Linked DNA regions of Macaca fascicularis. The protein of the gene in region 2 purifies or fractionates together with the protein of the main gene of each other region. This does not show direct contact. Links are inferred from orthologs where the notes say so. Each region holds a gene or a part of one and is shown on either strand. Other genes may lie near its edges.

Evidence for each region.
Region 1: the proteins of POMK (region 2) and GHITM purify together in Homo sapiens (affinity purification with mass spectrometry; 3 studies listed by BioGRID and IntAct, counting the BioPlex papers as one, with this or other methods). This does not show direct contact. The link is inferred for Macaca fascicularis from reciprocal best matches to the Homo sapiens genes POMK and GHITM.
Region 3: the proteins of POMK (region 2) and CANX purify together in Homo sapiens (affinity purification with mass spectrometry; 3 studies listed by BioGRID and IntAct, counting the BioPlex papers as one, with this or other methods). This does not show direct contact. The link is inferred for Macaca fascicularis from reciprocal best matches to the Homo sapiens genes POMK and CANX.

What each region holds. Positions count from the first base shown.
Region 1 is NC_088383.1:62,535,618-62,539,364, forward strand, and holds the start of GHITM (growth hormone-inducible transmembrane protein), read right to left. Parts: upstream 2,588-3,747; 5' UTR 2,254-2,587; exon of another isoform or gene 847-2,253; 5' UTR 771-846; intron 642-770; 5' UTR 603-641; coding exon 474-602; intron 1-473. UniProt on the Homo sapiens protein: Plays an important role in maintenance of mitochondrial morphology and in mediating either calcium or potassium/proton antiport. Mediates proton-dependent calcium efflux from mitochondrion.
Region 2 is NC_088382.1:46,639,252-46,642,998, reverse strand, and holds the start of POMK (protein O-mannose kinase), read right to left. Parts: upstream 2,707-3,747; 5' UTR 2,656-2,706; intron 1-2,655. UniProt on the Homo sapiens protein: Protein O-mannose kinase that specifically mediates phosphorylation at the 6-position of an O-mannose of the trisaccharide (N-acetylgalactosamine (GalNAc)-beta-1,3-N-acetylglucosamine (GlcNAc)-beta-1,4-mannose) to generate phosphorylated O-mannosyl trisaccharide (N-acetylgalactosamine-beta-1,3-N-acetylglucosamine-beta-1,4-(phosphate-6-)mannose).
Region 3 is NC_088380.1:186,592,563-186,596,209, reverse strand, and holds part of CANX (calnexin), read right to left. Parts: intron 2,528-3,647; coding exon 2,414-2,527; intron 1,208-2,413; coding exon 1,051-1,207; intron 1-1,050. UniProt on the Homo sapiens protein: Calcium-binding protein that interacts with newly synthesized monoglucosylated glycoproteins in the endoplasmic reticulum. It may act in assisting protein assembly and/or in the retention within the ER of unassembled protein subunits.

The DNA.
Region 1 (3,747 bases), on a different chromosome or scaffold from region 2:
TTCTCAAGTCTCTCGTTCCACCTAACGAGAAATGCCCACAGGTGTGGAGGGGTAGGCCATCCCTTCATCTAATCTGACAGAGATTATCAATCTAAATAAGAGATAATTTCTTCAATAATTTATTAAGCTATTGGCCAACTGGTAATATCCCTGGGTTCTTAAACTTCTGACTATGTGCTCCAGGATCTCCGTTACACCACATAACTCTCAATCCCTCACAATGTACTCTAAATTTTCTAAATGAGAAACTCCAGAAGCTGTAAGCAAAAGCAAAGTTACAGAAATTCATTTTCTTTTTCATATGGGATAAGGAGGGACCAGAATGATACAAACTAATGGGGAGAAAGAGCTGACAGGGATATTATCAGGGCCAATTGACGTATAACACACTAAAGGCAGCAGCCACACTCTGCCAAAAAGAAAGGGCACAAATGGAAAAAGCAGCAATATAAAAAAATTCAGATTATCTTTACCCTGCTGGGTGTTAACAGCCATTGATTCTTCGTGATGGAATTCTTCACAACAGGGGAGGCCTTGGTGAAAGCTGGGTGGAAAACCCTAGAAGGTAGTGTCCGGAGACACACAAGCCTTGCAGCCAACATGGTGGTGGTGCACCAGGTCTACCAAGCAGATCTGAAATGCTAGTAAAAAAAGGCAAAAACAACAAAAAGAACATAAACAAAACAATCCACTAACCAATAAAGAGAAGGACATATGAGAGTCAGAGTCAAGAAGGAACAATTTTTTAGTAGAAAAGGAAATACAGCCACCTTTTTAATTTTCAGCGATGAATTCTTTGCCCAATCATCCCTTGGTAATGCAAGAAACCCATCCCAGAGAACACAGCTGAGGATGGAGGAACAAATTAGGTTTAAGTCCCAGTTTGACCAATAATAAAATAGATGATTTCAAAAATTATGTGTTAACACAGAATGGCTGTTAACTGGATGTGATTACACCCGGGTCTATGATGGCTTTTACAAATGTAGTTTTGGCTTAAGATTCATACCAGTATCCAGTGGGAAAATTTAAAAGAATCTACATAACGTTTGGTCAGAGAAATAGTGTCATCTAAAGAGACATGAATAGCTCTTCTGCATTACAAAGCTAAAAGATATTAAAAGAAGCCAACTATATGAATTTCAGCTAATCATACCAAATAATACTTTCCTTCAACATAAGATATAAAAATATTCTAAGTTAACCTATTCTATATGTCCTACTATAATGCGTAAAGGACATTTAGTCTTTCAAAGTAAAATCGGTTACCAACTAGGTTTCCCTTACATTAGACTCCCTCAATGGTGTCTTCAAAAGAAAAGCATGCTAAAAACTGGATTATCTTAGCTCCAGGGCACATTATACTAGATGGGTGGTCAACCAGAAGTCAGCGGATAGTGTTTCTGTAATGCTACAGTGAGGTGACTATGATAGGTCAGAATGAAATGACAAGTGCAAACCAACTGGGGCTACCAGCACATCTCCGCCAATGATTTGTAGTGAATTTCAGGCAAGTGATATTCTTCTGGGTCCATTTCCCCATCTGTAACATAACGATTCCCAGTGTTCAGACTACAGCGTTGACCCTTGGACTACCTGCTTGAAAGTGACGCGGACGCATCTTAAAATGTAGGCTCCTGCGTCTTTCTTTGCTCCTAATGATTCTAGCTCTAGGAATAGGACCAAGGATATGTGTTTTAACGAACACTCCAAAAGCTAAGAACTATTGTTTTAAGATACCCGAGCGTCCTCCGAGCTCTGCAACTGAACTGAAGGATCTTAATACTCGGCACCTGGCCTTTGGGAAAACACCCAGCGCTTTTGGAACTTTCGTGCCATTACATCATCTCAACCTATGGCTGTCCTGTATCTTTCTCAGTACTCAGTCCACTGGGGGGGCCGAAGAGGTCCAGCTCAGAGTGACCTCCATGTGGCCTAACAGCACAGAGTGGGAATTCCACTTCTGACACGTTAGAATTGACCTTGTGAGGGGTGTGGATCTCTAAGACTCAGATGTCTGTCTTTGCTACAAAATGGGGAAAATACTACCGACCCTAATCCAAGGGCTTATGCCTCCGTGAGCATTGGATGAGTTTGGGTGCCTGGTCCCCGAGAAAGTTCACCCAGCCCGCTAGATTCGGATGAGAACCTGGCAGCAAACCTCCACGTCAACCCACAACACCTCTGTCCGCGCCCCAGGTGCCGCTACCAGCGCAGCGGCTGTACGGCCTGGCCGCAAGGATGACTCAGCACCTTGTTGCCCCGCGACAGAAGCACAGCTAGAATAGCCCTTGCGCGCCTGAGCAGGACCTTGTGGCCGCCGCCCTCTCCACTGGGTCACCCACAGGACTGCGACCCCAACGCGCAGGCCGGCCCTGACGCACCCAGCAGCACCGCTGCTACCAGCCCTTCCCTCCGCACCCAGCGGTCCCGTGAGGGCGGCTGTCAGGAGCACCGGGGATCCCGGGCGCCCGCCAGCCAGCCGGAGCATTACCTTGGTCCCCAGTCACCTTCGCTGCGTAGTTTCCCTTCCGGGCTCCCAGCACGCTCCTTACGGTCTGAAAGCGCACAGTTCCGCCAGCGCACTGCATGACGCAACATCGAGAGGAGGTAAATAGTACGAGTAGCCAATCACTGGCAGGCCTCTGTCGGAAACGCGGGCACAGTGGGGGAGGAGGGGTTCCGGGTTACGAGGCGGGGTTCCAAATTGGTGGGGCGGGGCCAGTTGAGGATTGTTGCAGGGAACGTCATAATCAGCGTCCATTTTGCGTGTGGGCATGGGAGTCGTCTGGGCCATCTTTGTTCTGGGCAGCGGAGGTCTCTTTTGCTTTTGTTTTAGCCTTTTCACTCGCCGCAGATATAAGAATTATGTAAAAATTGAAAGAAAGTAATGTTAGAGTTAAAAATTATTCCGTTTGGCGGATGAGGTCAGGAGATCGAGACCATCCTGGCTAACCCCTTGAAACCCTGTCTCTACTAAAAAATATATAAAAAAAAAAAAACTAGCCGGGCGAGGTGGCGGGCGCCTGCAGTCCCAGCTACTCGGGAGGCTGAGGCAGGAGAATGGCGTAAACCTGGGAGGCGGAGCTTGCAGTGAGCTGAGATCCGGCCACTGCACTCCAGCCTGGGTGACAGAGCGAGACTCCGTCTGTAATCCCAGCATTTTGGGAGGCCGAGACGGGCGGATCACGAGGTCAGGAGATCGAGACCATCCTGGCTAACACGGTGAAACCCCGTCTCTACTAAAAAAATACAAAAAACTAGCCCGGCGAGGTGGTGGGCGCCTGTAGTCCCAGCTACTCGGGAGGCTGAGGCAGGAGAATGGCGTGAACCCGGGAGGCGGAGCTTGCAGTGACCTGAGATCCGGCCACTGCACTCCAGCCTGGGCGACAGAGCGAGACTCCGTCTCAAAAAAAAAAAAAAAAAAAAAATTATTCCGTTTATTCCGTTCCTTTCTATTTGAAGGACTTTTTGTCCCTTAATTTATTGTGAGATAAATATGGTTCCAAATGTGACTGCTTCTGAGCGGAGTCATCCGGTTTCTGGGGTCTCACGCAAAAGGTTAGATCGTGAAATCCAGAAAAGATTTTTTTCTAGATGGTTTTTTCATTGCTTTTTTACTTTCCCGTGTACACTTTCAAGTTTCACCCTAAACCTGTGTAATAGGCCTGATGACAGCTGCCTGTGCCTGGCACCCAGGGTTGCTCTGAGGACTAAGATGTTTCCATTGCGTGTAATTTGATAGGT
Region 2 (3,747 bases):
CTCTTAGGTGGCCTCCTGAAATCTAGCCCCTATCTGCTTCCCTAAACCCTCCCTGCACCCCACTCTCTGGCGCCTGAGCTTTCCTCAGTCCTCAAAGGCTCCCTTTCTGGGATACCCAGGCCCCGGCCTCCTCTAAATTCTAAGCACCAAGAGGCCTGCCTGTCTGTCCTGTTCACCAGTGCACCCCCGTGCCTGGCACACAGTGGGTACTCAGCAAAGACACACGACTGCCTGGTCACTCTGCGCCTCTCCCTCTTCATGGCCTCAGCCATGAAGGCTGCTTTCCCTCTCCTGTGTTCACCCCACCGCATCCGCTCTTCCTCTCCTCACAGCTCCCATTCTCTGAGGCCCCTCATCTGCCACCTCCTTCTTCAATCCAAGTTTCCCAGCTCAAACCCTGTGGTAAATCCTTTCAACCCTCCAACCCTCCTTACCCCTAACCTCCCACCAATCCTTCCTTGCCACTAGGGGTGGATTCAGATTTTATGGGGCCTGAAGCTTATATAAGTTGGGACGACGAGTGGTAATTCTTTAAGAATACACAGTTATGAATGTAAAAGTGCTGAGCCCCTTGCCAGAGTTTTGGAAGGTATTTGAGCAAGTGAAGAGACTAGAAGCTTCATCATAAACCCAGATCTGCTTATCATTCACCAGCCCCATGTAACTTGCCCTGTCCACTTTTTCATTTCCACTCAAAGGCTGCCAACATCAGCTACAAAACTCTGTGGGACTCTACAAATGCATATTTTCTAATCTGTGTTGGACCCTCCGCATTACTAAGAAAACCTTTAATGCATTTCTTGCTGAATACAAATTTTATATGCCCCATTAACCTTTTATGTATCCCTAAGTCCTCACATTCACTTCTGAATCCTCTCTCAGCAAAAAGAAAAAACACCAAAACAAAATAAAAAAAAAACTCAAAAATTCATTTGACTTTTATACAGTGTCAACTTCACACCAATTCTGTGAAGTGGATATAATTGTTGTTATTTCCATTTCACAGATAAGACAACTGAGTCAGAGGTGAAGTAATATGTCTAAGGTCACTATACACAGAGGAGCCAAGTTTTCTGGACTCAAGCCCATTTTTCCCCTAAATACCACAATGCTCAGGAGTTGAACTAAATCAAACCCAGTGTGGTCACCTAGGGACTGGTCTAGGGGACCCTGGGACTGCCTGTTTCTTAAAGAAGACTTCAGCCCACCTCAGCCCCGATTTGCTTTTTTGTTTCAGAGCATATTCTGGAGTAGGCCGCCCAGAGCATAGCATGAGGCTGTGTGGCTGAAGGAACTTTCGTGTCCAGAAATAAGCAAAAACCGCTGAAATTTACTGGTCCTGAAAACAGCCTGCACATTAAGGAATAAAGATGGTGGGGCAGGTTGGGCAGGAGAAATTCAGGCACGATTGATATACAAAGCATTTCTGACACTGATAGGCAGGCTTATTGATAGAGAAAAGCTTGGCTTAAAGAAAAAAGAAAAGGGACAAAACTAGTTTTTACCGACTTACAAGGTATTTTCTACAACTAGGGAAGACACAGAGTAGTGTCATCCAATGCAATTTACAGTAGAATTCCATTGTGCCAATAAAGCACAAGGTACATTAGAAGGATTATTTTAAATATTCTTAATGCTTATTTAGCCTTAGGGTCCTACAGTAAAGGCAAAGGGTGACAAAGACAAGATTATGCAACAAAAGAGTGAAATTTTGCTTTCTAAAAAAAGAGAAGAATATGATTACACTTAACACCTCCTGGCAACAATGATCTCGTGCAGAATAAACACCCAAAGGCAAAGAGCCGAGACAGAGTCCTAGGTCCTTTCTGGTTTTTTTGTTTTTCGTTTTTTGTTTCGGTTTGGTTTGGTTTTTGTTTTTTTTAAACAAAGACAGCCTCTGCCGGACCCAGTAGCTCACGCCTGTAATCCAAGCACTTTGGGAGGCCGAGGTGGGCGGATCACCTGAGGTCAGGCGTTCGAGACCAGCCTGACCAACATGGTGATACTCCGTCTATACTAAAAATACAAAAATTAGTTGGGCGTGGTGGCGGACGCCTTGTGATCCCAGGAGCCAAGACCGCGCCACCGCACTCCATTCTGGGCGACAGAGCGAGACTCCGTCTCAAATAATAATAATAATGATAATAAAGTAATAATAATAGAAACAGTCTCTCACTGTGTCCCCCAGGCTGGAGTGCAGTAGCGCGATTTCGGCTCACTGAAACCTCCGCCCCCGCCGGGTTCAAGCGATTCTCCCGCCTCAGCCTCCCGAGTAGTTGAGACTACAGGCGGCGCCACCGCGCCCGGCTAAATTTTTTTTTACAGAGACAAGAGTTCCGCCATGTTGCTCAGGCTGCTCTCGCCTGAGCTCACGCGATCCTCCCGCCTCCGCCTCCCAAAGCGCTGGGGTTACAGACTGGAGCCACCTCGCCTGGCCCTTCTCGGGTCCTTTAACTTCCCGCTACCGCGCAGGGCTGGACGCGGAGGCGGGGGCTGGGCGCGGTGGACCCGGCCGCCCAGGCCAAGCGCAGCCTCCCAGGGAGCCTCCGCACAGGCGGCCGGCGCTGCGGGCCGGGCCACGTACAGGCCCCTCGAGAAACCCAGCTACACGCCCCCTCACCGCTTCGCCCTCTCGCCCCTCGCCCCAGGACCTACCTGCAGCCCAAGCTTCTGCGCCCCCTGCTATACCCCAGGACAGCACGCACTGGGCCTACTGCGCTTGCGCGTTCAGAAGCGCGTCCTGGGCGGGCGGGCGTGACGCTGCTGCCCCCTGGCGTCCTCCTCAGGCCGCGCACTGAAGCCAGAGCTAACGCTTCGGCGGTACCAGCGCGCACCTACCCAGTCTCCCTCTCTGGCTTCTGCTTCCCGAACTTGAGAGAACGATTTTGCATTGACCCACTATTGCTTCAGCCTGGAGCCAGGCCCATGCAGAGCAGCTGTCAGATCTAGACGCACTGCCAGGCCTTCCAAAGCGTATTTCTCAGATCCGCGGCATCTGCAGGGACCTTGCTGGAAAGGCTGATTCCCCACTCCGGCCCATACCCACCACTCGCGGACCCAGATGCCTGAAGTTGGACAATCACTCTGTAAAAGAAACTGTGGGGCTTAGCCCAGACACAGTAAAGCTGAGCTGCACACATCAAGTGCAGCAGACAAGACCTTGGCAAGCCTCCGCGGAGGGGCACGACTGGGCAAAGGCGGGGAAGTCCGTCGGGGCCGGCCTGGAGCCCCGCCGGGAGCCCAACACGCACTCGGGCACTCGCCCCGGGGAACCTAGAGGGAGGCTTGCAGCGTCGAAGTCAGGCTGGGGTCATGAAAAGTCTGGGTTGTGTACATTGGAAGCGTTAGCTGCTTCTACACTGACACACTGAGAAAGTCCAGAATTAAGAAACTAACATGGTGTGGGTTAAAAAAAAAACTGAGTCTGTACTAGCGATCCAAACAGTATTAAAATAACTACCAGAGGCCGGGCGCGGTGGCTCAAGCCTGTAATCCCAGCACTTTGGGAGGCCGAGACGGGTGGATCACGAGGTCAGGAGATCGAGACCATCCTGGTGAACATGGTGAAACCCCGTCTCTACTAAAAAATACAAAAAACTAGCCAGGCGAGGTGGCGGCGCCTGTAGTCCCAGCTACTCGGGAGGCTGAGGCAGGAGAATGGCGTAAACCCGGGAGGCGGAGCTTGCAGTGAGCTGAGATCCGGCCACTGCACTCCAGCCTGGGCGACAGAGCCAGACTCAGTCTCTC
Region 3 (3,647 bases), on a different chromosome or scaffold from region 2:
CTGGCCAGCATGGCGAAACCCTGTCTCGACTGAAAATACAAAAAATTAGCCAGGTGAGGTGGTGCACGCCTGTGCTCCCAGCTACTCAGGAGGCTGAGGCAGGAGAATCGCTTGAACCCAAGGTGGAGGTGGCAGTGTGCCGAGATTGCACCATTGCACTCTAGCCTGGGCGCTAGAGTGAGACTCAGTCTCAAAGAAAAGGAAGTTGACCGGGTACGGTGGCTCATGCCTGTAATCTCAGCATTTTAGGAGGCTGAGGTGGGGGATCGCGAGGTCAGGAGTTTGAGCCCAGCCTGGCCAACATGGTGAAACCCCGTCTCTACTAAAAATACAAAAATTAGCTAGGCGTGGTGGCAGGCGCCTGGAATCTCAGCTACTAGGGAGTCTGAGGCAAGAGAACTGCTTGAAACTGGAAAGCAGAGGTTACAGTGAGCCGAGATCACGCCACTGCCCTCCAGCCTGGGTAGAAGAGCGAAATTCCGTCTCAAAAAAAAAGAAAAGGGCCGGGCGCGGTGGCTCACGCCTGTAATCCCAGCACTTTGGGAGGCCAAGGCGGGCGGATCACAAGGTCAGGAGATCGAGACCACGGTGAAACCCCGTCTCTACTAAAAATACAAAAAATTAGCCGGGCGCGGTTGTGGGCGCCTGTAGTCCCAGCTACTCGGGAGGCTGAGGCACGAGAATGGCGTGAACCCGGGAGGCGGAGCTTGCAGTGAGCCGAGATCGCGCCCTTGCAGTGAGCCGAGATCGCGCCACTGCACTCCAGCCTGGGCGACAGAGCGAGACTCCGTCTCAAAAAAAAAAAAGAAAAAAAAAAGAAAAAAAAAAAGTTACATAAAGTTATTCACTCCAGTTTCTAGGTTTATCTTTGCAACACCTCACCCAATAAGCTCTCTTTCAACTTAGGATGTCTACCTTCTGCTTTTAATTCAATAGCTTGAATATAATGAACAACCATAATGACCAACCTGGCAGCCTGACTCTAGATAAAACTTCTATCTGAATACAAACAGATCAATGAAAGCAACTCAACCATCAAGAGGCACAAACCTGGTAACTGGGATTGTCGATCATAGGAGGCTTCCATTTGCCTTTATAATTGGGGTTGTCAATCATAGGTCGCTGCCAGACACCACATCCAGGGGCTGACTCGCATTTAGGGTTGGCAATCTGAGGAGCCTCCCATTCTCCATCCATGTCTTCATCCCTATGGAGGTACAAACAACAAATTATAAACAGGTTCTGTGATGCAGGACTATGAACAGCTGGCTGGCCCAGGGCTGCCAAGATCCTGCTGAAATGTTTTCACAGTATCAGACCAGCTTCTCCTGTTTCTGTTTTTCCAGTAATAACAGTTTTTCAGGAAAAATATATTTTTTAAAAAAGAAGAAAATATAATTAAAATTGTCAAATTCTACCCTGAAATTGGGGAACTTGGCTATATTTAAGTATTAAGTTTGACTTCCATAAAAACAGGTAACTTATGCTGGGTGTGGTGGCTCACGCCTGTAATCCCAGCACTTTGGGAGGCCAAGGCAGGCAGATCACTTGAGGTCAGGACTTTTTTTTTTTTTTTTTTTTTTTTTGAGGCGGAGTCTCGCTCTGTCGCCCAGGCTGGAGTGCAGTGGCGCGATCTCGGCTCACTGCAAGCTCCGCCTCCCGGGTTCCCGCCATTCTCCTGCCTCAGCCTCCCGAGTAGCTGGGACTACAGGCGCCGCCACCACGCCCGGCTAATTTTTTTGTATTTTTTTTTAGTGGAGACGGGGTTTCATTGTGTTAGCCAGGATGGTCTCGATCTCCGAGGTCAGGACTTTTTAAGATCAGCATGGCCAACATGGTTAAAGCCCGCCTCTACTAAAAATACAAAAAATACAAAAATTTCCCAGGTGTGGTGACACACACCTGTAATCCCAGCTACTCGCAAGGCTGATACAGGAGAATCGCTTGAACCCAGGAGATGAAGGTTGCAATGAGCTGAAACTGCCACTGAACTCCAGCCTGGGAGATAGAGTGAGACTCCATCTCAAAAAAACAAACAGGCCGGGCGCGGTGGCTCAAGCCTGTAATCCCAGCACTTTGGGAGGCCGAGACGGGCGGATCACGAGGTCAGGAGATCGAGACCATCCTGGCTAACACCGTGAAACCCCGTCTCTACTAAAAATACAAAAAAAAAAAAAAAAAAAAAACTAGCCGGGCGAGGTGGCGGGCGCCTGTAGTCCCAGCTACTCCGGAGGCTGAGGCAGGAGAATGGCCTAAACCCGGGAGGCGGAGCTTGCAGTGAGCTGAGATCCGGCCACTGCACTCCAGCCCGGGCTACAGAGCAAGACTCCGTCTCAAAAAAAAAAAAACAAAAACAAACAAACAAACAAACAAAACAACCTACATAATTAAAAAAGTTAACTGAAGTTCTTACCAATCCTCAGGTTTCTCTGCGTCTGGATCAGGTACATACTCGGGCTCATCATCTAACCAGCCTTCAGGTTTTGTGGCCTCTTCATCTGGAATCTTAGCAGGGGCATCTTCATCCCTTAAACATAAAAGAAAAATTGTGCCAATGCTGGTCACAGTACAGTACCACTTTGTGGATCAGAACAGAGTATTCTAAAAATATTTTGGTTTTAATCGCAAAATTTTAAATAATTCTTCTTAGAAAATTCTTGTAAATCATGTCTGCTAAGGGTCTAGTAAAATAACTCTTTACAACTCAATAATATGAAGACAACCCAATTTAAAAATGGGCAAATGATTTTAATAGACATTTCTCCAAAGAAGACATACGAATGTATAAATATACAATACAAACATATAATAAGCATATGAAAAGATGCTTAACATCATTAGCCATCAGGGAAATGCAAATCAAAACCACGATACCACTTAGTACCAAGATGGCTATAATAAAAAAGACTCATGAAAACAAATGTTGGAGAGAATGTAGAGAAACTGAAACCCTCATACACTGCTGGTGGGAAAGTAAAATGGTACCGCTGACTTGGAAAACGGTTTGGCAGTTTCTCAAAAAGTTAAATAGTTACCACATGACCCAGCAATTCCACTTTTAGGTACATCTACCCAAGAGAAATGAAAATATATATCTATAGCAAGGCAGAGTAGCTCATGCCTGTAATCTCAGCACTTTGGGAGGCCAAGGCAGGAGCATCACTTGAGGCCACACCAACCTGGGCAACAAGGTGAAACACAGTCTCTAGTAAAAAAATACACAAGGCCAGGTGTGGTGGCTCACACCTGTAATCCCAGCACTTTGGGAGGCCAAGGCGGGCGGATCACCTGAGGACAGGAGTTCGAGACCAGCCTGAACAATATGATGAAACCCTGTCTCTACTAAAAAACACAAAAATTAGGTCAGGTGCAGTGGCTCATGCCTGTAATCCCAGCACTTTGGGAGGCCAAGGTGGGCAGATCACCTGAGGTCCAGAGTTTGAGACCAGCCTGACCAACATGGAGAAACCCCATCTCTACTAAAAATACAAAACTAGCCAGGTGTGGTGGCACATGCCTGTAATCCCAGCTACTCAGGAGGCTGAGGCAGGAGAATCACTGGAAACTGGGAGGCAGAGGTTGCGGTGAGCTGAGATCGCACCATTGCACTCCAGCCTGGGCAACAAGAGCGAAACTCCGTCTCAAAA